Mus musculus: one gene and its partners. The protein of the gene in region 2 interacts with the protein of the main gene of each other region in a pairwise test. Links are inferred from orthologs where the notes say so. Each region holds a gene or a part of one and is shown on either strand. Other genes may lie near its edges.

The links.
Region 1: the proteins of Ehmt2 (region 2) and Plod3 interact in binary tests that used the Homo sapiens proteins (3 or more experiments, as listed by UniProt). The two-hybrid records come from large-scale screens. The link is inferred for Mus musculus from reciprocal best matches to the Homo sapiens genes EHMT2 and PLOD3.
Region 3: the proteins of Ehmt2 (region 2) and Rd3 interact in binary tests that used the Homo sapiens proteins (3 or more experiments, as listed by UniProt). The two-hybrid records come from large-scale screens. The link is inferred for Mus musculus from reciprocal best matches to the Homo sapiens genes EHMT2 and RD3.

What each region holds. Positions count from the first base shown.
Region 1 is NC_000071.6:136,987,600-136,994,998, reverse strand, and holds part of Plod3 (multifunctional procollagen lysine hydroxylase and glycosyltransferase LH3 precursor), read right to left. Parts: 5' UTR 7,314-7,399; coding exon 7,196-7,313; exon of another isoform or gene 7,040-7,195; intron 6,883-7,039; coding exon 6,791-6,882; intron 6,665-6,790; coding exon 6,528-6,664; intron 6,428-6,527; coding exon 6,264-6,427; intron 6,117-6,263; coding exon 6,004-6,116; intron 5,874-6,003; coding exon 5,810-5,873; intron 5,402-5,809; coding exon 5,304-5,401; intron 5,103-5,303; coding exon 5,001-5,102; intron 4,849-5,000; coding exon 4,723-4,848; intron 4,582-4,722; coding exon 4,460-4,581; intron 4,255-4,459; coding exon 4,150-4,254; intron 4,041-4,149; coding exon 3,915-4,040; intron 3,700-3,914; coding exon 3,558-3,699; exon of another isoform or gene 3,458-3,557; intron 3,456-3,457; coding exon 3,342-3,455; intron 3,228-3,341; coding exon 3,159-3,227; intron 1,791-3,158; coding exon 1,686-1,790; intron 857-1,685; coding exon 710-856; intron 67-709; coding exon 1-66. UniProt on the Homo sapiens protein: Multifunctional enzyme that catalyzes a series of essential post-translational modifications on Lys residues in procollagen. Plays a redundant role in catalyzing the formation of hydroxylysine residues in -Xaa-Lys-Gly- sequences in collagens.
Region 2 is NC_000083.6:34,900,692-34,908,090, reverse strand, and holds part of Ehmt2 (histone-lysine N-methyltransferase EHMT2), read right to left. Parts: intron 5,078-7,399; coding exon 4,996-5,077; intron 4,910-4,995; coding exon 4,872-4,909; intron 4,769-4,871; coding exon 4,613-4,768; intron 2,963-4,612; coding exon 2,825-2,962; intron 2,750-2,824; coding exon 2,635-2,749; intron 2,482-2,634; coding exon 2,380-2,481; intron 2,182-2,379; coding exon 2,033-2,181; intron 1,941-2,032; coding exon 1,797-1,940; intron 1,715-1,796; coding exon 1,479-1,714; intron 1,397-1,478; coding exon 1,214-1,396; intron 1,139-1,213; coding exon of another isoform or gene 1,109-1,138; coding exon 1,026-1,108; intron 761-1,025; coding exon 654-760; intron 570-653; coding exon 447-569; intron 349-446; coding exon 247-348; intron 1-246. UniProt on the Homo sapiens protein: Histone methyltransferase that specifically mono- and dimethylates 'Lys-9' of histone H3 (H3K9me1 and H3K9me2, respectively) in euchromatin.
Region 3 is NC_000067.6:191,981,451-191,988,849, forward strand, and holds the end of Rd3 (protein RD3), read left to right. Parts: intron 1-1,799; 5' UTR 1,800-1,815; coding exon 1,816-2,111; intron 2,112-3,761; coding exon 3,762-4,053; 3' UTR 4,054-6,832; downstream 6,833-7,399.

The sequences.
Region 1 (7,399 bases), on a different chromosome or scaffold from region 2:
GTGTGGCCGAAGCGAGGGCTGCTCATCTGGCCGGTAGCGGACCACGAAGTTCATCACTGCCCGTGTCTGTGGGGACACAAGGTGGAAGTCATGGGAAGGGCAGGGCACGCCAAGGCTAGCCCTTTACTTGTTTTGTACATGAGGTGGAAGACATGGGAACAAGCACTTTATAGACCAAGCCATCTCCCCAGTCCCGTTCCTCCCCATTTTTTGAGACAAGGTATTTTTTGTAGCCCAGGCTGGCCTCAAACTATGTAGCTCGAGACGACCCTGAATTTCTGATCCCCCTGCTCTACCGTCTGAGTGCTGGGATCACAGGCTGTGCTCCTACCCCCAGGCTATGCAGTGCTGGGGATGGAAGCCAGGGCTTTGTGCGTGCTGGGTGAGCGCACTGGCTGACCCACATCTCCAGCCTCTCTCTCCTGTTTTGAGACAGGCGCTCACTGCACAGCCCATGCTCTCCTCAAACTCGACCTTCCTGCCTCAGTTTCCCAAATGCTGAGGTTACAGGTGTCAACACGCCCTGCCAGTGACTCTCCTAATAGCACAGTGGCCCGAGTAGGAGGCTTAACTTCCTTCCGAGTCCATCTTTATCCTGGGCCCCAAGTCCGTGGCGCCTCAGTTGCTAAAGGGCTGAGGGCGGGGTCCACATAGAGCCTTCCGAGACTGGGGTACAAGAAGAGGTACAGCAGCGGTTGGGATGGCCCACCTTGGTGTGGTAGCCAGGGAACAGGTACTCCGTCATGGGCCCCACATATGTCCGCAGCAGCTGAAGCCACTGGTCCTCGTATCCCACCTGTTTCATGTGGATATCAACGGTGGGAACATTCTCGTATCCTCCAGCCAACCTGGAATCCTGTGAGCAACAGACACTCAGCCACCCACATCCCTGGGCTAGCCCATTCTCCTTCAGGGACAATACCAGCTTCTTCTTGTTGGTTCCCAGGTTTTTTGTTTTGGTTCCCTGGAACTTGATCTACAGATCAGGCTGGGCTTGAACTTAGAGATTCACCTGCCTCTGTCGAGAGTGCTGGGATTAAAGGTGTGCAGATGACTGCCCAGCCGGAGTCTCTTTCTGTCTGTGACATCTAGAAGCAGTTTTCTCTTCTATTGTCAAGGCAGACTCACTGCTGCCGGGCCCTTTAGTCTCTGCTGTCCTTAGCTCTGCTGTGAATCCACGCCACCTTCCCATGCTATCTAACATCCGTAGCCCCAAGCAACCTCTGTGTTATAGCTAACCTTGACTGTCAACTTGATGGGACCTAGGTTCACCTAGAAGACAAGCCTCTGGGCATGCTGGGGAGGGACTGTCTAGCTTAGGTTAACGGAGATGGGAAGACCTGACCACTGTGGGTGACACCATCCCCTGGGCTAAGGTCCTGGCCTGAAAGTGAGCTGAGCAACAGAACTCATCTCTCTGCTTTCCGACTACAGTGCAATATGACCACGTGACCAGCTCTCTCACGCTCCTGCTGCCATGCCTTCCTGCCATGATGGGCTTGTGCCCGCAGACTGTGAGCCACAAGAAACCCTTTCTTCAAGTTGCTTTGGACATATACTTTCTCCTGGCCACAAGTAACTAGCATACTCTTTATGAGCCCCGCCCTTGGGGATCCCCTCTATCCCCCAAGTCCCCTGTCCCTCTTCAGGCCCACCCTGTCCCCTTGGGAGCCCTCTGTCCTCACCTCGTGCCGGCCTCCAGACCACTGGCCATAGTGTTCCATTTCCTCCACCAGCTCATCACACATCTGCTCGGTCAGCAGTGGGAACCAGTACACATCTGGGCATGGCTAGGGACAGAGCAGGGCAGCAAGGGACAAGGCAAGGTGAAGCTCACAGAAGAGAGGTGGGACAGGCAACAAGGACAGGGGAGGGGAGACACACAGGAGAGGATCTATGGAGGGCTGACCCAAGCTCTCTAGGTGGAGAGAGGAAGGGTGTTTTAGCAGAGGAGGGCAGGAATAGGGGGCCTGGAGCCCCAACATCTAGAACAATGATCTTGTCCTGTCTTTTTTCCTCCTTTTTGAGACAGGGTCTTTTGTAGCCCAGGCTGTCCTCAAACTCACTAGGTAGCTGAGGCTGGCACTGATCGTCCTACTTGCACTTCCTGAATGCCGAGATCACAGGCGTGCAACTTCATGCTCGGGTTATACTGTGCTGGGAACTGAACCTAGGGCTCTGTGAATACTGGGGGAGCTCTCTACTGCACGAGCCCCAGCTCCAGCCCATCTACTTACTTATTTTTAGACAAGGTCTTACTATGTAATCCAGGATGGCCTTTTTTTTTTTTTAAGAGTTATTTATTTTATGTATGTGAATACACTGTAGCTATCTTCAGACACTCCAGAAGAGGGAGTCAGATCTCATTACAGATGGTTGTGAGCCACCATCTGGTTGCTGGGATTTGAACTCAGGACCTTCGCAAGAGCAGTCGGTGCTCTTAACTGCTGAGCCATCTCTCCAGTCCCCAGGCTGGCCTTGAACTGGCTACGTGTCTGATGCTGCCCTGCAACTCCAAATCCCTGTTATCTTCCTCGACCTGGGCTCTGGCATTATTGGCATGTACCACACCTCTGTTTGTTTTTATGTGCGTGTGCGCACGGCTGTGTGGGGGTGTGCATGTGCGGGTGGGCACGGCTATGTTGGGGGTGTGCGTGTGCACATTTGTGCATTCGAAGGTCTGAGGTTGACACCAGGAACTGCTCCATTGTTCTTTCACCTTATCCACCGAGCATGATCTCCTAATTGAACCCAGAGCTTACGGATGCAGCCAGTCTTGCGAATCAACCTGCTGCGGGTCCTCAGTCTGGAACTGCAGGTGGGCTCTGGAGACCTGTACTAGGTCGCCATGCTTATGTCCTAAGCACTTGACCACTGAGTTCTCTCTCAGCCCATCTTTTTTCTTCTTTTGAGACTTGGTCTTGCCATCTGACCATGGCTGGTCTGGTACCTATTATGTAGCCCAGGTTAGCCTGAAACTCTCCATCCTTCTGCACCACCTTCCAGACCTCTAAGATTACAGGCCCTTAACACTTAGTGTGGCCGTTAGCCTTCCTCTCGCCCGAATAGGAAACCCTCAGTCCCCGGGTGCTCAGCTTAGAACCCACCAATGCCAGCAGTGGGTACTTCACACGGGCCAAGGTCCTGGGGCAGCTTACCTGTTCCACTAGCCCTTCCCCATCCAGGGCCCGGCTGTAATTCTCGTGAATGTACTGTTCTCTCCAGTCCTGTAGGAAGGGTTAGGGCGCTCGAGCGGAGCCTTCTTCACGCCTGCCCTCCCATGATCAGCAATGGTGGTGGGGGCTATGGGCTGGAAGCAGGGAGCAAAGGTCCCCTCTTACCACAGGGTTGTCAAAGATCTGCCAGAGGTCTGGGTGTAGGTGGTCTGTGTCATAGCGAGAAGTAGCCAGCAGCCGGCCAAACTCGTGCTGGTTGCTGAGGTGGAGGAAGATGCCCTGGAGCGGGGTAAAGGGTGGGCATGCGTGAGGAGGACATCAGGAGGCTGTGGGCACAGCGTCGAGTCCCCATGGGCAACCCATGCCAACCACCCCACTCACCTTGTCCCGGACGCTCTTGCAGAAAGCCATATCTGGGTCTGTGTCGCTGCTGGAGAATACCTCCTTTTGGGGCAGTTCAGTCCTCAGGGTCTCCCCGCGGATCACATATGCCTGAGATATGTAGGGTACATTCCACACGCCCCTGCAGGCACCGGGTATGATCAGCTAGGTGGGCAACCCCACAGACTACGCTTTGCTCACTGCAGAAGCTCCTCCTCGGTGTCCCCCAGAATCCCAAGCCTGAGGCCATCATATCACCCTTTCCATAGCGGGGGCCTAGTGTGTATGTAGGAGGCTGCGGAGGGGGACCGAGGGAAGGGCCTGCCTGGCACTGCACGGTACGTGGGTGGGACTCACACTCGCTTCCGCTGCACCAGTTCCACGTAGTCTTCGGAGCGGGCGTAGTACTCATTGGGGCTCAGGGCACCCCAGAAGTTGGACCAGAGCTTGCCATGGCGGGAAAGCATGGGAGCTATTACCTTCCTATGGAGAAGACGTAGGTGAGGGATGGACGAGATGGGATAGGACTATGTCCCACCAGGGGAGGGGGTGAAGCTCTTCTGGGGCTCCATGCATGGGTGGTGCTGGTCACCTGTTTTGTTCAATCAAGACACGCAAGGTCTCCGGGTTCGTAAGGACGGCATCAGCATCCAGGCTAAAGTAGAACTCACACTCAGGGTTCTGCCGACAGCTGTCCCTGGAGGAGAAGAGCCACAGATAGAGAGGTGAGCCCAAATGGGGGCATGGAGGCAGGGCAGTGGGGATGGAGGGATGAGCGGGGCTCTCCTGGTTCTGACATGAGGTCAAGGGTCAGTGTCTCCTTCCCCAGGGGCTCCACTGTCTGTGTCAGAGGATGAGGGAGGGGAGCGTAGTGTGACCACAGCCCAGGCAGACTCACTCACATGGCCATGTCCCTGGCCTCCCCTGCGCTCAGGGCCTCCTCTGGCCCCACCAGCTTTACAGCTGAAAAATGGTCCTGGAGCTGTGGCCAGGCATCTGCAATATGAGGCTCGTGGTACACCTCCTGAAGATGGGCGGAGAGAGGGATACACTGACGGTCTGGGCAGAGAGGTGGGTACATGGGGGATGCAGTCAGGGAGGACAGACGGAAGGAGGTGTCGGTGCGGTGGGATGGGGGATAAGGGGTATGCTCTCCATATCTCACGCTGTTGTGAAGGAAGAGAGAGATCCTGTCCGGGGGGTAATCCAGGAGCAGTAGGCGCTGCAGGAACCGAGGCAGGAAGGGAGTAGGCTGCTCCACAAACACGGCCAGAAGCACCCGGGGGGGAGGCTGGGGGACACCACAGGACAAGGCTCACACAAGCCCAGACCTCTCTCTGCCCACAGCAGTCACCCACTGCCCACTCGGCCAGGTCCAGGTGCACAGGAGCTCAGCCCCAGGCCGCCCAGCTGGCCCTCTGCTGACATCCGTGCTGTCCTCACCTGCCCCCCCGGGAGTGTCCTCAGGGTCTGGTTGCAGAATCCACAGCCTCCCTGGGGAGTCCAGCCATTGGGGACATAGTTCCCCAGGTAGTTGAGCTGGAGCTGTTGGGACAGGGTTGAGTGGCTAAAGTGGAGGTGTCTGGGGACAGATGGCAAGGACATTGGGCTCAGGAAAAAGTCAGCAGGGTGAGGCAGCCATCCTGGCACCCTTTTCTGCTGGAAATGGAGAAAACCAGGGGGAGGGGGTCCAGGAGGGTTGGGGTAGCAGGGGGGGGGCGTGGAGGGCTGAGGGCATGGGGGCACCTTAGTGGGACCATTTCCATGGACCACAACAGGAAGTGTGTCGTAGGCCACATTCCGGATGCGCACACGATTCTGGTCAAACTTTAAGATCACTTCATCTGGGGGCAAAAAGGGGAAGGTTTTCAAGAGCTCCTTCATTTTGGAACCACGAGGCAACAGGCTCTTTAAGGTGTGAAGCGATAGGATCCCAACTCCTCTGGTGCACAAAGGTCTTTGCAAGTGCTCGGTAGATCGAGCTCCAAACACCAGTTTTTCCTTTTGTTTTTGTGTGGTGCTAAGAATTGAACCTAGGGGTTTCTGTATGCTAGACACACTCTCTACCACAGAGTTACACCCCCAGCCTTTCATTGGGGGATTCTAGGCAGGTGCTCTACCACTGAGCCACACATCCATCGCTAACACACATGCTCAGGAGTTGGTTAAGTTAGCATACTGGTGAGTTGTAGATCAACCCAGTTCTGGCAGGAACCCATCCCTCATTACCCACCTCTAACCACCGTCCTCACCTAAGGCTCCATTGAGGTTCTGAAAGATCCGGGATTTATGGTCCAGACTCAGTTTGAGTTTCTCCTAGATGGCATAAGATGGAGCAGTGAACGGAGGGGGGACAGGTGACACTATATCTCTCTTTCTCCAACTCCCTTTATGCCTCCCCTCCTATTCAACTGGAGAGGGGGTTCCTGTCCCTGAGTCTCCCTACCCGCAGCCCTGGGTCCAGGTACAGTTGAGTGTAGAACAATTGATCATCATCGTCGTCTTTGTAGTTCCACTGGCGGACAATCTGATGGATGGTGGGAGCAAAGCCGATGAATCCTGGGGGGGTGGCAAGCAGAAGTGAGTTAGACCTCCCGAGACTGCCAGGGTCCCCGACTCAAGCACCCAGAGCATGCAATGCCCGCTCCACTGGGGGAGGGAGAGATAGAGAGGGGACAAGTCTGTCTTGGGAACTCGGCCACTCACCACCAGAGTTGAGGAAGCGCTTCCCCATGCCCACCTCAGGGTACTGCTCTGCCAGCCCCCACTCAGGCCAGCAGAAGCTCTCAGCAGAGAACAGCAGATGACTGCCACTCTGAACAAACTTCTTCAGCAGCTCTGTCGGGCTGCTTGCCAGAATCACGTCGTAGCTGGGCAAGAAAAGGGGAAGACGAGAGCCAGGAGGAACCTCAGTCTCTTTTTCTCTCTCCATAACCAGTTTCCCACTCTTTCCACCCCAGCCCTCCTTACCTGTCCACAAACATGATGATCATGTCTTTCTGATCTGCATATTTCTCCATTTCCTTCTTGAGCCACCTGACCTTCTGGCCTCCACCAACTGTTCGAGCCACATCACCCCCTCGCCACTCCTGTCCCAGGCCCAGGGTCTGCAGGAAAGATCCCACCCCCACGCAGCGGAAGAGGTTCAGCTGGCCAAGATGAGGAAACAGGACCAACCCCCACGACCCCTGCCCTCTCCCGCTGGAATTTCTCCCATGGGTCCCCCCACTCACCCGTACAGTGTAGTTAAAGAACTCCGCAGACTGCAGAAAACGCCGGTACCCCTCTGTCTCTGCCGTAGCCACAGTGATCACCAGCAATTTGTCTGTCATAGCCAGAGAACTGGCACTTAAGACACGGCTTAGTGTCCCACGTGTTTATCCCTCTGTATCACCCCCGACACACACACACACACACACACCTCCATATTACTTCACTAAAGTTCTTTCAGCACATTTGATCTCCAGAAGAGTCGGGTGAGAGTAACATACACGAATGGGGGCTGGGGTGTTCCTGTCTGTCTGGGGAGCCTGGAACCCCAAGTTCTGCATGAGAGGCTAATGCACTGGGAAGGCTGGACACTCCCTTCCAGGCTGGCGGACGTGTCGACCCTGCCCACTGGCCGCCCGGGTTCTCACCTGGGTTGACAGCATTGGCGCCCCGGGGTCGATCGGAGGCAGAAGTTACGGGGGGCAGCGGCGGCAGCAGCAGCAGGAGCAGGAGCAAAAGCCGGGGTTCCGGGCCTGCCGCAGCCATGGCTAGCAGCACGCTTAGGCTACACCCAGGCCCGCACCGGCGCTGAGCTGAGCGCCTGGATTCCGACGCCCCGGGAAGATTCTGGG
Region 2 (7,399 bases):
CACAGCCAGAGAATGGGTATCCACAGATGCACCCCCGCCCCCCAATGCTCACAGGGAACCTCACTGGACGCACTCAGAGATAAGAGATGGGAGTCGAGTTCCATGAACCAAAAAAATGAGGGAATCAACGTGGGCAGTGGGAGGTAGTGGGGGAGGGTCAGGTCAGCTGAGGAAGAAGCGGGACTGATGCCCAAGGGACAGATAGCCAAAGAATCTGTGTACAGGAGGGGCAGCCAGGTTGCTAACCTGGGCATTGACGTCCACCTGTCCTGTGCTCAGTAGCAGGCTGACCATTTCCAAGTTCCCAATTTTGGCTGCATGATGTAGACAGGTGGAGCCATCCTCTTCCTGAGGGAAACACGAGCCAGTGAACCCTTCAGCTAGCACCCCGTGCCCAGGTATCCCTTCTTCCTCCCACCACCCAGCTCTCCAGCGCCATCCCGCACCTTGCTGTAGACACAGCCACCTAACTGCACCATGTAGCGTGCCACCTCCAGGTGGTTGTTCACCACGGCCTCCATTAGTGGCGTGCGTTGTTGCTTATCTACGGCATTGATGTTGGCTCCTGCCTGTGAGGACAGTGTGAAGGCTGGCACCAGGGAGAGGGGATGCTGGGGAGGGGTTGGACAGTGGGAAGGGTCATGAGGACTGACCTGCAGCAGCACATGACAGATCTCTACCGACCCCTTCTGGGCGGCCGCGTGCAGGGGCGTGCGCTTGCTCTGCTGGTCGCTCTGGAAGTTGGGGTCCAGGTTGTCTACTGCAGGCAGAGATGAGACAAGAGGTAAGAGAGCTGGGGGTGGGACAGCCCTGTACCAAGAGAGACTTCCCAGGATTCCCCACTAGGCAAGCCGTGCCAGCCCCTCAGTACTGCCCCGCACTAGAGGAACACTCAGCCTCCAGGCCGGGAAAGCTTATAAGTTGTGCACTGGATCAGTGCCCATTACCAACAGGTTACCACTGCTGCCGCCACCGAGGGTCCTTCCCTTTCACGCACAGCCCTCGGGGTGGGGTCAGACACTCACACAGCATAAGGATCACCTTCTGCAGCTCCCCCTGCTTCACCGACAGGTACAGCTGCCGTGGGTGGAATCGCAGCTTCTTCCGCCTGTCAGGGGATGGAGGGGGAGAAGGTGGGCTGCTCAGATTTAAGTACCGACAGCAACACCTGCGTTTCTGGCCCAGTCACACCCTGAAAACAGCACAAACTCACCTCTCAGACTCCTGGATGACCAAGGCTTTTTCCAGGGCTTCCCTGCCCGGCCCTGGGGGCAGACCCACAGCGGAGAGGCAGCCCCCATTAGGCAGAGTCAGTGAAGGCCCTGAGCTGTCGATGGTGTCAGCCAGGGGATCACAGGGCGGGCGCCGCGGCTCTCCATGCCCTCGCATTCGGGCGCTGTGGAAAAAGGTTTTGAGGTCTGGGGGCAAGGGAGATAAGATGGATAACCGGGTGGTGGTGGTGGTGGAGAGGCCAATACCTAGGCTGGGAGGTATCCGCTCGCCCTGGGGCATCATGTGCCAGGGGTGGCAGAGCAGGAGCTGCGGTGCCAATTGGGGGTGTTCCCCCATCGCCCCGAGGAATGGTCACCTCCTGGGCCTCTGAGGCATCCTCTCCACAGTGGGGACAGAAGACCATCCCATTGAGCTGGGATACGCAGGCCTTATGGAAGCGGTGAGCTACACGAAAGTCGGGGTGGCATTCCAGGAAGGTGCCCTGGGGAAGGGAAGAGGCAGCAGTCAGCCCCGGAGCTCTCCGGTGCTGGCCAGACCGCCCATCCACCCCAATGGTCACTCACCGCTGTGCAGAAGTAGCCGCAGCCCGGGCAGCAATGGTGCTTGACCATGCGGGCTCGATGGGCCTCACAGAGCACCATCAGCGCCACGCGGCTAGACGGCCGCATGGTCTCCCGCTTAAGGATGGCAGCATTGCAGCCCAGGAGCTAGGGATGAAGGAAGGTGGGGGCATGTGGGTGAGGCCAGGGCCCAGGCTAGCTCACCCTGGGCCCCCTAAGCCAACCGTACCCAGACCCACCTCTCCATCCACACTCTCTGTGGCCATGCACTTGTGCCCTGCTCTCTCGCTGATGCGGTCAATCTTGGGAGCCTCCATGCGGCAGCTGCAGAGGGGCAGCTCCTCAAACCCGCGTTCTGTCTCCAGTGAAGACGTGTCATTGGAGACCCCTTAGACAGGAAGAGACAGAGATGATGGAGGCCTTGCCCCTCACCCACTGGGAGGGTCCCCTCCTTTCCGCCCAGCCACCCCACCATGTTCTAGAACCCCAAAGCCTGGCATGGACACCCCAGCTGTGGCAGGGTTTCCCTCCACCCCCATGGGCACCCCCTGGTGGCTCCCTGTCCCGGCAGTTGGCAATTAATTACCAGCGTGGTTGGGGGAGAGGGTCCCCTCGCTGGGCAGCTCCAGGGACCCCAGAGGAACCTCCATGTACTCACTGGGCCCTGAGGAACCCACACCATTCACTCCTGACACAGAGACAGAGAGAGTGAGAGTGGGGGCTCACAGGTCCTGGGCGCGTGCGCACATGCGGTCTACACAGTGAACATGCACGAGCATCCGAGTGTGTGCTGCTCTCTGGGGCCGGAGGAGGGGACCTGAGAGCAGAGGAGCCGTCTTACCTCTTGGCTCCTTGGCCCTCGGAGGCTCTCGTTTCCGCCGTTTTCTAGATGGCTTCACCCACGGGCTGTCTTTCCGCCATTTCTTCTTGGCCTTGCGCCGGCCACTAGAACCGCTCTGTGGAAGAGGAAGACTCAAGAGCTCTGCTCCCAGCTCCCCCACTCCTCCAGGTAGGCCGGTCTCTGCTCTTACCCTGTCTGACTGATTGCCCGACTCCTCGTCCTCTTCTTCCTCCTCCTCCTCTTCCTCCTCCTCCTCCTCTTCTTCTTCTTCCTCCTCTTCCTCCTCCTCCTCCTCACTCAACTGTTCAGCTAGAGCTTCGACTTCAGACTGAAAAAGAAAAATCAGGCTGGGAAACCAGCAAAGGCAGCTCTCTCGGTGACTGCTGAGGCCCCATATCATCACCCCCCCCCCCCCCAAGGAAAGCTCCCGGTGGGGGATGTGGGCAGGAGGCAGGAAAGGGTGGATAGGGACAGAGGCACAGAATGCCACACAGCAGTGACAAGGGCCGGTCTTAGGAAACACTCTGACAAGACTACCCATGGCAACAAAACCAACCACACTCCACGAAAAGCTAAGGAGGTGCTCTCTAACGAAGGGGTCAGGCTGCCATCACCGGAAACCACAGGCCCAATGTCAAAGTTTTCTTTTTGATTGATTGTTTGGAGACAGGGCCTCACTAGGTAGTCCTGGCCACTACCTGGAACTCACAGAGATCCTACGCCTCTGCCTCTGGAGCATGTCAACACTGACCAGCACAAGAACTGACCAAACACCCTACACAGCTTCCAAAGACAGGCAATAGGAAGGAGGCACCTGCAACCACTGCCACATTTTCTTCCCCCCAAAAAATCAAAAACAAAAAGCAGAAGCAGCAGCAGACATGGCGGCACATGCCTGTAGTCCAAACGTGGAGACAGAAGCAAGAGGATCAGCTCAGGAGCTGGGGCTGGCGAGATGGCTCAGTGGGTAAGAGTACTGACTGCTCTTCTGCAGGTCCTAAGTTCAAATCCCAGCAACCACATGGTGGCTCACAACCATCATGTAATGAGATCTGACACCCTCTTCTGGTGTGTCTGAAGTTAGCTACAGTGTACTTATGTATAATAATAAATAAATCTTTGGGCCAGAATGATCAGTGACTGAGTGAGCGGGGTTGACCGGAGCAAGCAGAGGTCCTAAAATTCAATTCCTAACAACCACATGAAGGCTCACAACCAGCTGTACAGCTACAGTATACTCATATACATAAAATAAATAAATCTTTAAAAAAATAAAGTGAGACTCTGTCTCAAGCCCCATCCCCATTTAGAAAAAGCATGCCTTTAACCCCAGCCACTCGGGAGGCTGAGGCAGACAGACTACAGGAGTGGGTTAAGGCCGGGCCATTCCCAGGCAAGTTGGTAGAGAATGAGGCCTGAAATCAAATATTTAAGTAGCAGCTCAGTGCTTGCTCGCCCTGCGAGGCCTTGAGTTTAATCCCTCAATCAGCAAAAATAAAGCACAGGCCTGTTACAATGCACTTGCAGAGCGCCAGGCTCAACCTCAAACACGGGGGAAAATTCTGAAAGCTCAAACCCACAAACTGTAAGAGATTAAGATCCCCAGAGCTACATCGAAAGAGAACCAAGCCCGAGATGCTGTCCTCTAACCCCAGGATGAGCGCACACACAGTGTGGCAGTATGTGCCTTTCAACCCAACACTAAAGAGGCAAAGGCAGGCAGATTTCTAGGAATTTGAGGCCAGCTTGGTCTACTAGTGAGACCCTGTCAAACAAACAAAACTAGCCAAAAGCCAACGGAGCAAACAACACAAAGGGAGCAAACAAGGCAGGGAGGAGGCTGGGTTGGAATGAGAGGACCAGAGATGAGATAAGGGATATAAGAAACAGTTGCAGACAACACAGGGCGGTGAACTAGAGCTATTAAAGGGAAAGAACAGACTGGGTAGGGAAGCTTGAGAAGAGCACACCAGCACACCTTGCTGTCAGAGTCCACCCGCTCATCCACAGAGTACGCATCATAGTACAGGCTGAAGTCATCGCCCACCACCGTCTCCCACTCCTCCAGGGGCCTGGGCTCTCCCTTCTCCAGGATTATATCTCCTGAGCCCCCGGCAGAGCCCAAGTCCTCGGACTAGAAAAAGATGACAGAGTCTGAGGTTCCTGGCTCCAGCCCACCAATCCGCCCCTCCCCTCCGCTCCCACCCCCACCAGGTAGGTCTTCCTCTCCAGCTCACCAGGCTACCAGAGTTCAGCTTCCTCCTTTTGGCCACATCTGGAAAGACAGAAAAGTGAACTCTCAATCCTGGGATAGACTACGCAGGCCACCTGGAGTGTGTGGGAGGAGCAGAGGTGACTGACCTGAAGTCACCTTCCCCAGATGCATGTCATCACTCATGCGGAAATGCTGGACTTCAGGGGGCCGCTTCTCAGGGATTGGAGGCTGAAGCAGGAAGGAACACGTTTCAGTCAGAAGGTTACTCACCCAGGCTAGGTGTGGTGGGCTACACCTTTCATTCCAGCACTCCGGGAGGCAGGCGGATCCGAGACCCAGGCCAGCTAGGGCTATAGAGTGAGTGAGACCCTATCTCAAAAACAAACAGAACACCCAAGGACAAAAAGGGAGCCTGGAAATATACAACATAGAGGAAACTTGAAGGCACTGTGCTAAGTGAAATAAGTGAGCCACCAAATTAAAGTTATGGGTCTGTTCCCTCAGCCTGGGGCCCAGGTGGGAGTATTGTGGCTGGCTGTACCTCAAAAATGCTATCTGGGGGACTGGCAAGATGGCTTAGTGGTTAAGAGCACTGACTGCCCTTCTGAAGGTCCTGAGTTCAAATCCCAGCAACCACATGGTGGCTCATGACCATGTGTAATGGGATCTGATGCCTTCTTCTGGTTCGTCTGAAGACAGCTACAGTGTACTTACATATAAAAGTAAGTAAAGCTTTGGGCCAGAGCTAGTGGGGCTGACTGAAGTGAGTAGGGTTGACCAGAGGGAGCAGAGGTCCTAAGAGTTCGATTCCCAACAACCACATGAAGGCTCACAACCATCTGTACAGTGTATTCACATACATTAAAAAACAAACAAACAAAAAAAAAACAAACAAACAAAGCTATCCGAAGGGCTGGAGGGATGGCTCAGGGTTAAGAGCACTGACTGCTCTTCCAGAGGTCCTGAGTTCAAATCCCAGCAACTACATGGTGGCTCACGACCATGTGTAATGAGATCTGATGCCCTCTTCTGGTGTGTCTGAAGACAGCGACAGGGAACTCCCATAAATCTTAAAAAAAAAAAAAAAAAGAAATGAGTTTTTAAAAAAATGCTACCCGAAAGCCGGGCGTGGTGGTGCACGCCTTTAATCCCAGCACTTGGGAGGCAGAGATAGGCGGATTTCTGAGTTCGAGGCCAGCCTGGTCTACAGAGTGAGTTCCAGGACAGCCAGGACTATACAGAGAAACCCTGTCTCGAAAAACCAAAAAAAAAAAAAAAAAAAAAATTAAAAAGAGAACAGTGGCCAGCAAGATGGCTCAGTGGGCAGGGGTGCTTGCTGCGCAAACCCTAAAACTTGAGTCTGACTCCTAGATGGCATGAAAAGGTGGAAGAGACCAGGCTCCACAGATATGTCCTCTACTGCGTCCATCCCCTCAACCTCCCCCATTACACATACACACTTATAATCAATATTTTTCTTTCAAGACAGGATTTCCCTGTGTAGCCTTGGCTGCCCTGGAACTCACTATATAGACTTGGCTGTCTAAGGAATTGTGTATACTCTAACTAGGCTGGCCTTGAACTCAGAGATCTGCCTGCCTCAGTCTCCCAAGAACTGGGATTAGAGGCGTGAGCCAGCACCACCCAGCAACAGATAAAATTTTAAAAGTTGTGCCCATATAGGAGTCTTTAAACTACTAATACAGGCATTAGCTAATCATCTATAAGGTATCTACAAGGAAGACAGATACGTGTAAGGCATATGCAAATGTTGATTCTTAGCTGACCCAGACCTTAAGAGATCCACCTGGCTCTCATAATTTTATATGAGGAGCCCGAGCAAACACGAACTTCTGTACCAGAGAAGAACAGCCACACCATGGTGAGGTAATCACTTTCCCAGAAAAAGAAAACAAGCATTGTCGGAGAGGTAGTGCAGTGGTTAAGAGCCGGTTGCTGCTCTTGTGGAAGACCCAGGTCCAATTGCCCAGCACTGACAAGATGCTCACAACCCCTTCAAACTCAAGGTCTACTGCCCCCTTGACTTGAAGGGCACCAGACACACAAGGTGGTACACAGACATATGTGCAGGTAAAACACCCAGAAGCTTAAAAGTTTTTAAAAAAAGAAAGAGTAAAGAAAAAAAAAAAGAAAGAAAAAAATTAAATGTAGAAGCTGGGTGGGGTGGATCATAGCAAGTTCAGTCTACATGAGACCATCTCAAAAAGAGGAAATAAAACAAGGGCCAGAGATATGGCTCAGCAGTTAAGAGCACTGACTGCTCTTCCAGAGGTCTTGAGTTCAAATCCCAGCAACCACATGGTGTGGCTCACAACCATCTGTAATGGGATCTGATTCCCTCTTCTGGTGTGTCTGAAGACAGTTACAGTATATTCATATACATAAAATAAATAAATAAATCTTTTTTAAAAAAAAGATTATAAATAAAAGGCATGTGTGTACACCTTCAGCCCCAGGATGTAGGAGACAGAAAAAGGTAGATCTCTGTGAGTTAAAGGCCAGCCTGGTCTACACAGCCAGCCAGCCAGG
Region 3 (7,399 bases), on a different chromosome or scaffold from region 2:
CTGTCACAGGCTCCAGTGGTAAGCTAGAGTGTGAGGGAGCTGGAAGCCTGCCAGGGAATTCAGCCTCTGAGGGGAGCAATGCCTCCAGAGGGGGCGGGCAGTGAGGAGAGGGGGAGCCACAATCTTCCAGGGCAGATCACACAGAGCCTGTCTGGTCCCCAGAGTCTGCCTGGCTGGCAGCTGTCCACAGCTATCTTCCCTTCCTCCACGCTCCCTCTCCATCCCAGAGCCTTGCCTTAAGAACTTAATCGGGCTTGCCCCTAGAGCCTCCTGCGGGGAGGGTAGCAGCTGGCATCAGGAGCAGAAATAGCTGCAGCAGAAATCCTGCCGCTGTTGGATCAGGGCCAGTGTGGAGGGGCATGGGGGTGGGGAGAAGAAAACTGAGACAGGCTCTTCCTTTCCAGTGAGACCCCCAAGCTGGGCCACAGAAGGTTAGGGTTCACAGAGCTCAGGGCTCAGGAGGCCCACCCACCCTTAGCCCCTGAAGAACATCTGCCTCTACAGACCAGCTCAGGTCTCCACTGGGCTAGTGAGATTCGACACTTCCCTGTTCACTGGGTGTTTGTACTTCATCAATCATCAGCCCTTTTATTAACTTATTTGATGTCTTGTTTGTTTTTAAAAACTCTTTATATAGACTAGATACTAATTCTGCATCACATGTGCAGCCATCAGAGGTTTTCCCCTGTCTGGTGGGCTCCTCCTCTCTGTTAACTTTCCTTTGCTGTACAGAAGCTTTTAAAATGTCACCAGGTCCCATATGTGAATCGTTGTCCTTATTTCCTGAGTAACTAGAGTCCTACTGAGAAGGGCCTTGCGATGCTTGTGTCTGAAGCATTCCCCAACTTTTTTCTCTCATAGTTGTAGAATTTCTGGTCTCACACTGAAGTCTGATCAATTTGGAGTTGGATTTTTGCCTGGCGTCCTGCCCAGGCAGCCCCGTGTAATGCCTCAGACCCAGGCTGTGTCTTTCTACCCTGGCCATCATCTCTATCCATCCCCGTGTGTGACGTCTGCCCCCATTCTCACCCTGCTTATTCACAAACCCTCCTCTGACTCCCTTCATTGTCTAATGTTCACCCCCTCCCCATAGATACCGGGTGTGCTCTGTGCCAGTTATCCCCAGGGACCCCAGATACTTTCATGGTGTCCCTCCACTGAACTTGGCTAACACTTACTGGATTAATGAATTATGATGGTGGGTCGGTTGTTTTATCAGGGCAATGTCAACCCACACATTTCTAAGTGTATCGTCCCTAGACCAGAGGCATTTGAAACAATGTATTCTTGTTGGATTGGCATGGGACATAAGTATCTAAGGGAATGTGTGCATGTGTGTGTGTTGTGCCTGCTATGTGTGTTGTATGGGTATGTGTTTTGTATGTTGTTTGCTCTGTATGTGTTTGTGTTGTGTGCACTTTTCCCCACAGATTATGGGGATATTATTATGCTCATCTGTACATGTACCTGCTTTGTTTATGGATAGTGAGGTTTGGGGAACAATTTCTCTGGGTTCAACCATCACGATGCTTTCGGGATTCTTATCAAAATGGCTGCATACATCACCTTGATGCAATGCTTATGGTGAGCCAAGGTTATTCACAGCTGCTTCTCAAATGGCCCTATTTTGTTTTCCATAATTAAGAATTTTGCTCAAAGAGGTTGTGGCCTACATGAGGCCTCACATCTGTAATGGGTGGGATGCTTTCAGCTGGGGCCCAACTCGCCTCTCTCTTTCTTGGTGTCTTGGGTTCCTTCCTTGCTGACAAGGGACACATTCCCCTTCTTCTCTGTCTCAGAAGAGTCTGGGGGGCCATGTCCCTCATCCCGTGGCTCCGGTGGAACGACACCCCTCCCCGGCTCTCGGCCCGGACCCCGGCCGAGATGGTGCTGGAGACGCTCATGATGGAGCTGGCTGGGCAGATGAGAGAGGTGGAGCGACAACAGAGGGAGCGTCGCAGCGCAGTCAGGAAGATCTGCACTGGTGTGGACTACAGCTGGTTGGCAAACACGCCCAGGCCCACCTATGACATCAGCCCTGGTGAGCGGCTGCAGTTGGAGGATGTATGTGCCAAGATCCACCCATCCTACTGTGGGCCTGCCATCCTCAGGTAACCCTGGCATTGGGATGGGGACCGTGACCCTACTAGCTCCAGAGAAGGTGACTGGAGTCGCAGGAGCCCAAGGCTAGTAGAATCAGAGCCAGATGGCATGAGAAATAGAATAGAAATCTCCTATTTCTGGGAGAAATAGGGTGAGGAATATCAGACTTGGGGGAGGCTTCATCTGGGGCTGGAGGCAGATTCTAGAGGCCCTCAGGCTGGGATGGGTTGGACTCAAAGCTTGTAAATTCTTTGTTCTTCCTGCTGGGTGGTTGCAAGTATGCATGTCAACAATGGTTCCTTTGTCACACGCCTATCTTCCATGTCTCCAACTTCTCCTGCTTCATTTCCTTCTTCTTCCTCTTCTTTTAGCCCAGGCTAACCTAGAACTCACTATGTAGCCTAGGCTAGTCTCAAATTCACAGCAATCCTGCTGCCTCAGCCTCCATGTTCCTTCCTTAGGACCTGTCCCAGGCAATCTCTCCAAAACTGGTGTCTGAATTACTCTGTTCCGATCAGGTTTGACACTGTCAGCCCGAGGTGTGAGTGTGTGGGGGGAAGAGGGAACAGGGAAGCCCAGCCAAGTGTGTGAGTGTGTGAGAGCCCAGGGCACCACATGTGCAAAGCTTGGTGTAGCACAGGACAGAACCTAAACCTCTCTCCCTGAGGCTGTGGACCTTCCCTCTGTTCCCATAGAGCTGGTGAACTCAGTACAAATTCAGGACCGACCCCAAATGCACAGGAGTTCCTTGTCAGCATTCTGTTTGTAAAGGACAAATCTACAAGTAAAGACTTTGAGTCCAACTCCTCCAGTAGCCCCCAACACTTGCCCACCCCGTGCTTCCTCTCTGAAATTCCCTTGAAAGGAGGACTTTGCCCCTATTTCCTCTTTGGTTTCTGTAGTCTCCGCGCTGGTGCCCCTGAGCTCTCCCATTCTTCTGATTCTATTGATGGTGGAGGCTCCTAAAAGCATTTACTTCAGAAGTGAAAATGGGACAGGGGTAGAGTGCCAAGCTGATGCCAGGGGGCACCTGACCTGGCTGGCTAAACCCACAGTGAGGGGGCACAGGGTTAGAGCCATACTTCCTCTTGGATTTCCTGTCTGCCTCTGCCAAATGCTGGCTCTCTGGAGGGCAGAGGAAAGAAGGGATCAAATGGACGAATCCAGCTCTATGGAGAAATCTAGGCAGAGGAAACAGCTAAAGAGACACACAAGGAGCAAGGAGGCCACCAGCGGCCTTCCTGAGAAGGAGCAGGGCCAGTAGGAATGCAGAGCTTGTCCATCCCCTGAAGAGACACGGAGCTGGGGGGAGAAGGTCTCCATGTTGACACACCATGACATTGCAGACATGCATCTCAGAGTAATCACAGGGGCAGGTGGAACTGGCAGAGGGGTGAACACAGTCTCCCACAGCCAGGCTGCAGTTACAGTGCACACCTCAGAACTTTGTCCCTGTCAGCCATGGGCTGGCTTCAGGCTCCTTGCATATGAGCACACGTACCATGTGAAAAGGCAGGTGTACCCTTTTACAGGTGAGAAAACTGAGGCTCAGAGGTGAACAGAACTGGGATTTGAGCTCAAGATTGACTGGGACAAGAGCAAGGTTGGGAGTTTCTGGCTTGTGAGATGCTCAGTCCATCACGGTCATGTGCCCCCAGGTTCAGGCAGCTGCTGGCTGAACGAGAGCCCGAGGTGCAGGAGGTGGCGCGGCTGTTCCGCTCCGTGTTGCAGGAGGCCCTGGAGAAGATGAAGCAGGAGGAGGAGGCCCATAAGCTGACACGTCAGTGGAGCTTGAGGCCCCGCGGCAGCCTGTCGTCCTTCAAGACCCGCGCTCGCATCGCACCCTTTGCCAGTGACATCCGAACCATCTCGGAGGATGTGGAGCGCGATGCGCCACCCCCGCCGCGCACCTGGAGCATGCCGGAGTTCAGGGCGCCCCAGGCCGACTGACCACCCAGGGCAATCACCCTCAGGAGGAATAACGGGCTGGTGACTCTGTCACTAGCGCCGGAACCTCCCCACCTACCCCAACCAGGAGACCCATCAAGCAACACTGCTAGACCACGGAGCCAACTACCCAGTGAGCACACCTGCTTGGATACCTGGGCAGAGTCAGGACTTGAGCCCTGTTTCTCCGCAAAAAGGTCTCCACTTCCCAGCCTGACACAGACACAAGGCCCACATACTCATCCCAATTTCCGGGATGCCCCATTCACCCTATCCATTCATGGCACCTTTACTGGTGACCAGATGACATTCACTGCAGGGGACCCACAGCCTCAGGCCCAGGGCAGCTGGTGGGGCCCACAGAAGACTGTTCAACCCACTCTTCAGCTAGTGAGTGAAAAAAGGAAGTCTTCCAAGAGTCTCTGCTTTTGCCTTAACTCTGATCCCTCTGATGTGGCATTGTTCTTGCCTCTGAGTCCTTGAATGCTGGACTATGATAGGGTGGGACCAATGTCTACATCTCCATCCACTGGGGCCGAGGCTGCTGTCTGAGAAAGGTGGCTAGGGGTAGGCAGGATGATCATAACTCCCATCCTGCGATGTCATCATATGGAACATGGCCAGTCCAGAGTCAGGGCTTGGAGGCCTGCGAACCTGCTGCTGAAGTCTAGGGATCCTTCTGTTCACACCTGCTCTCCAGCTTCCCTAGGAAGTACCTGAGCAAAGCAGTCCAGGGTAGTCTCCTGCAGCCTCATGCTCTGATGGTCTATGAGTGGATGTCCCCCACCTCAATCTGGGGTAGAAGTAAGGTTCAGGGCAAGCAAAGAGTGTCCCCAGCACCCAGTGCATGTGAACCTTATAGTCCAAATAAAATGCAATGGGAGAAAAATCACTAGGTACTGCATATAGTCTGGCTCAATGGGAAGTCTGCTCTCCTGCCCTCCCCGCCCCTCCTCCTTCAAGGCAGGGTCTCACTATTTTGGCTGCTTCAGCCTCTTGAGTGCTGAGTCTACTGCACAGATATTCTTTTTGAATGATGTGGCTTTGGGTTGCTTCACTGGGATCTGGATAATGATCGGATGGCACATTCCTCTTACCCATCGCTGCCAGGATGAAGGAGCTGACTGGCTCATTAGTATAATCTCTTCTAAACAAAAACATTTTAAACATATCTTCTACTGGAAGATACTGAGAAGTTCACTCAGTTGCCAAACTTTGGATAGAGGTTCAAAGTTGTAGTCGACCCTCGACTACCAGTCAATGTAGGTACCTCGAAAGGGGTTCTGAGAATTAAAGGACAGGGATGAAAGAAAAATGGTGCTAAGACAAAGTTCTGATCAAGGTTCAATTTTATTGCAAAGCAGCAGGCTTATAAAGGCAAAAGCCATAAGCCCAACCCCTAGATGTGACTGATGACGTAGATCACCTCATGCTGACTGCCAATGGCATAGGTTTCCATTTCTCAGAACAGGTTTCTCTTATCAGGGCAAAACGAGAATTCCCAACTCTGGAGGGGAAATTCCACCTGCGAAGGCAAAAACAGCTGATGCGGCAACCCCTCTCTGCAGGTCAGGGCAGAGCCTCCACACAAAGTGACCTGTGTTGTGATGGGGGTTTGCTTTGATTCAATGGGTTTGTGGGTGCTTTGAATGTGACACCAAGAACAAATGGGAAAGGCTTTGAAACAAACAGTTCCACAGTTGGGAGGAAATGTTGAGTGAAGCAGAGCTTGCCAAGCCTCCTGCCTGAGGCCCTTGTGGGGCTTGATTTGCCTAGAGGGAGGTTCCGAGGATCCTCAGGGGAGGACTACTGATTGCTGATTTCTTCTTCCAGGTCTCTCTGTTCTCCTCAAACAAAAGGAAAACCTGAGGTAGTGAGCTTGCTCTTGCATGACAGGCAGCTGCTACTGCTGTCCCTGCCAACCTCCTCAGTACTCTTCTGCTTTGTCCCACCTTAGCTGTGATGCTAACTAAAGCCTGTGAGGGTCTCAGGTCCTGTAAGACTCAGGGCTAACAGAGGTGTCTGCTGAGGGGCTGGCGTTGGCTGGAGGGGAGGGGGAGCCCCCCCCATCCCCCCCGCTGAGCCGCAGCTGGCGCAGCATCCTAGTTCTGGTGCTTCTTACTTGGTATGAGAACTTTTAAGTTCTAGAAAGTAAAGGGAGCCTTAATGCTTATTAATTCTTAATAATATTAATTTCATTTTTGTTTCATGTTTTAATTTCTCAACCCAAAATTTTGGCGGATACTTTAATATGAATCTCAGATATGTTTCTTCATGCCTGAATACTTCAGTGTGCTCTGCAAAAGAGAACATCCCAGAAGTTGGGGATATCTATCTGTCTGTCTGTCTGTCATCTACCTATCTAGGGTGGCATACATCTTTAGCCCCAGAGTTTGGGAGGCAGAGGCATGAAGATCTCTGAGTTCGAGGTTAGTGTAGTCTACAGCATGAGTTCCAAGATAGCCAGGGCTACGCAAAGAAACCCTGTCTTGAAACACAAACACACAGCTGTTCTGCTAGTAAAAATCTACACAAACTTTCATATTATCTAATACCTAGTCCCTGCTGAAATGACCCAAATTCTTCCCAACATATGACTCCTTGCATTTTGTTTCTGAGAGTGAGGGTCTCATCAAATCTCATACATCCACACATCAATCAGAAAATTATGATTTGTTTATGCTCAATCACATAGTGCTCTATAATTCTACAATGGAAGATTGTTTATGGAGTATCATGTTGATAAACAGTAAATTAATAAATTGTGGCCATTTGATAAAATATTTCAACACAAAAGATTCTCTAATATATATATATGTATATAATGTAATTTTACATAACATTAATTTCTTCTCTGGCTTTAGATTTTTAAATTCTTTCATAAATGAGGAAAGCAGCAAAAAGTGCCAACCATTTGCACCAGTAAAGAATAGCTATTAATAGTACATATTTTTACTAATTTGAAATAATAAAAACCTATTGGCCATTCTGGGTAGGGGGTGCATGCTTGGCTTAATACTTCAGGAGCCTTCTAGTGCACACTTGAATCACACACAAGGAGGAAAAAAGGCTGAGGATAATCAGCCATAACAAAACCACATTCTTTGTAGTTTGTTATCATGCAGGTTTGACCTGCATGCTTACTTTAACCCACAAATAGCTACTGCAGTCATTACATGTCATTAATTTTCCATGGAAAATTGTCTTTTAGGCTAGGACATATTTGAGAGCTGTTTACAAAGTCTTAAGAGGAAGAAATGTTTTGCTTCCAAAACACTGTCTTTCTGGAATGTGTGTGTAGCACACTCCATGAGAGGTCTGAGTTTATCTGCCGTATTGGTACTTCCGG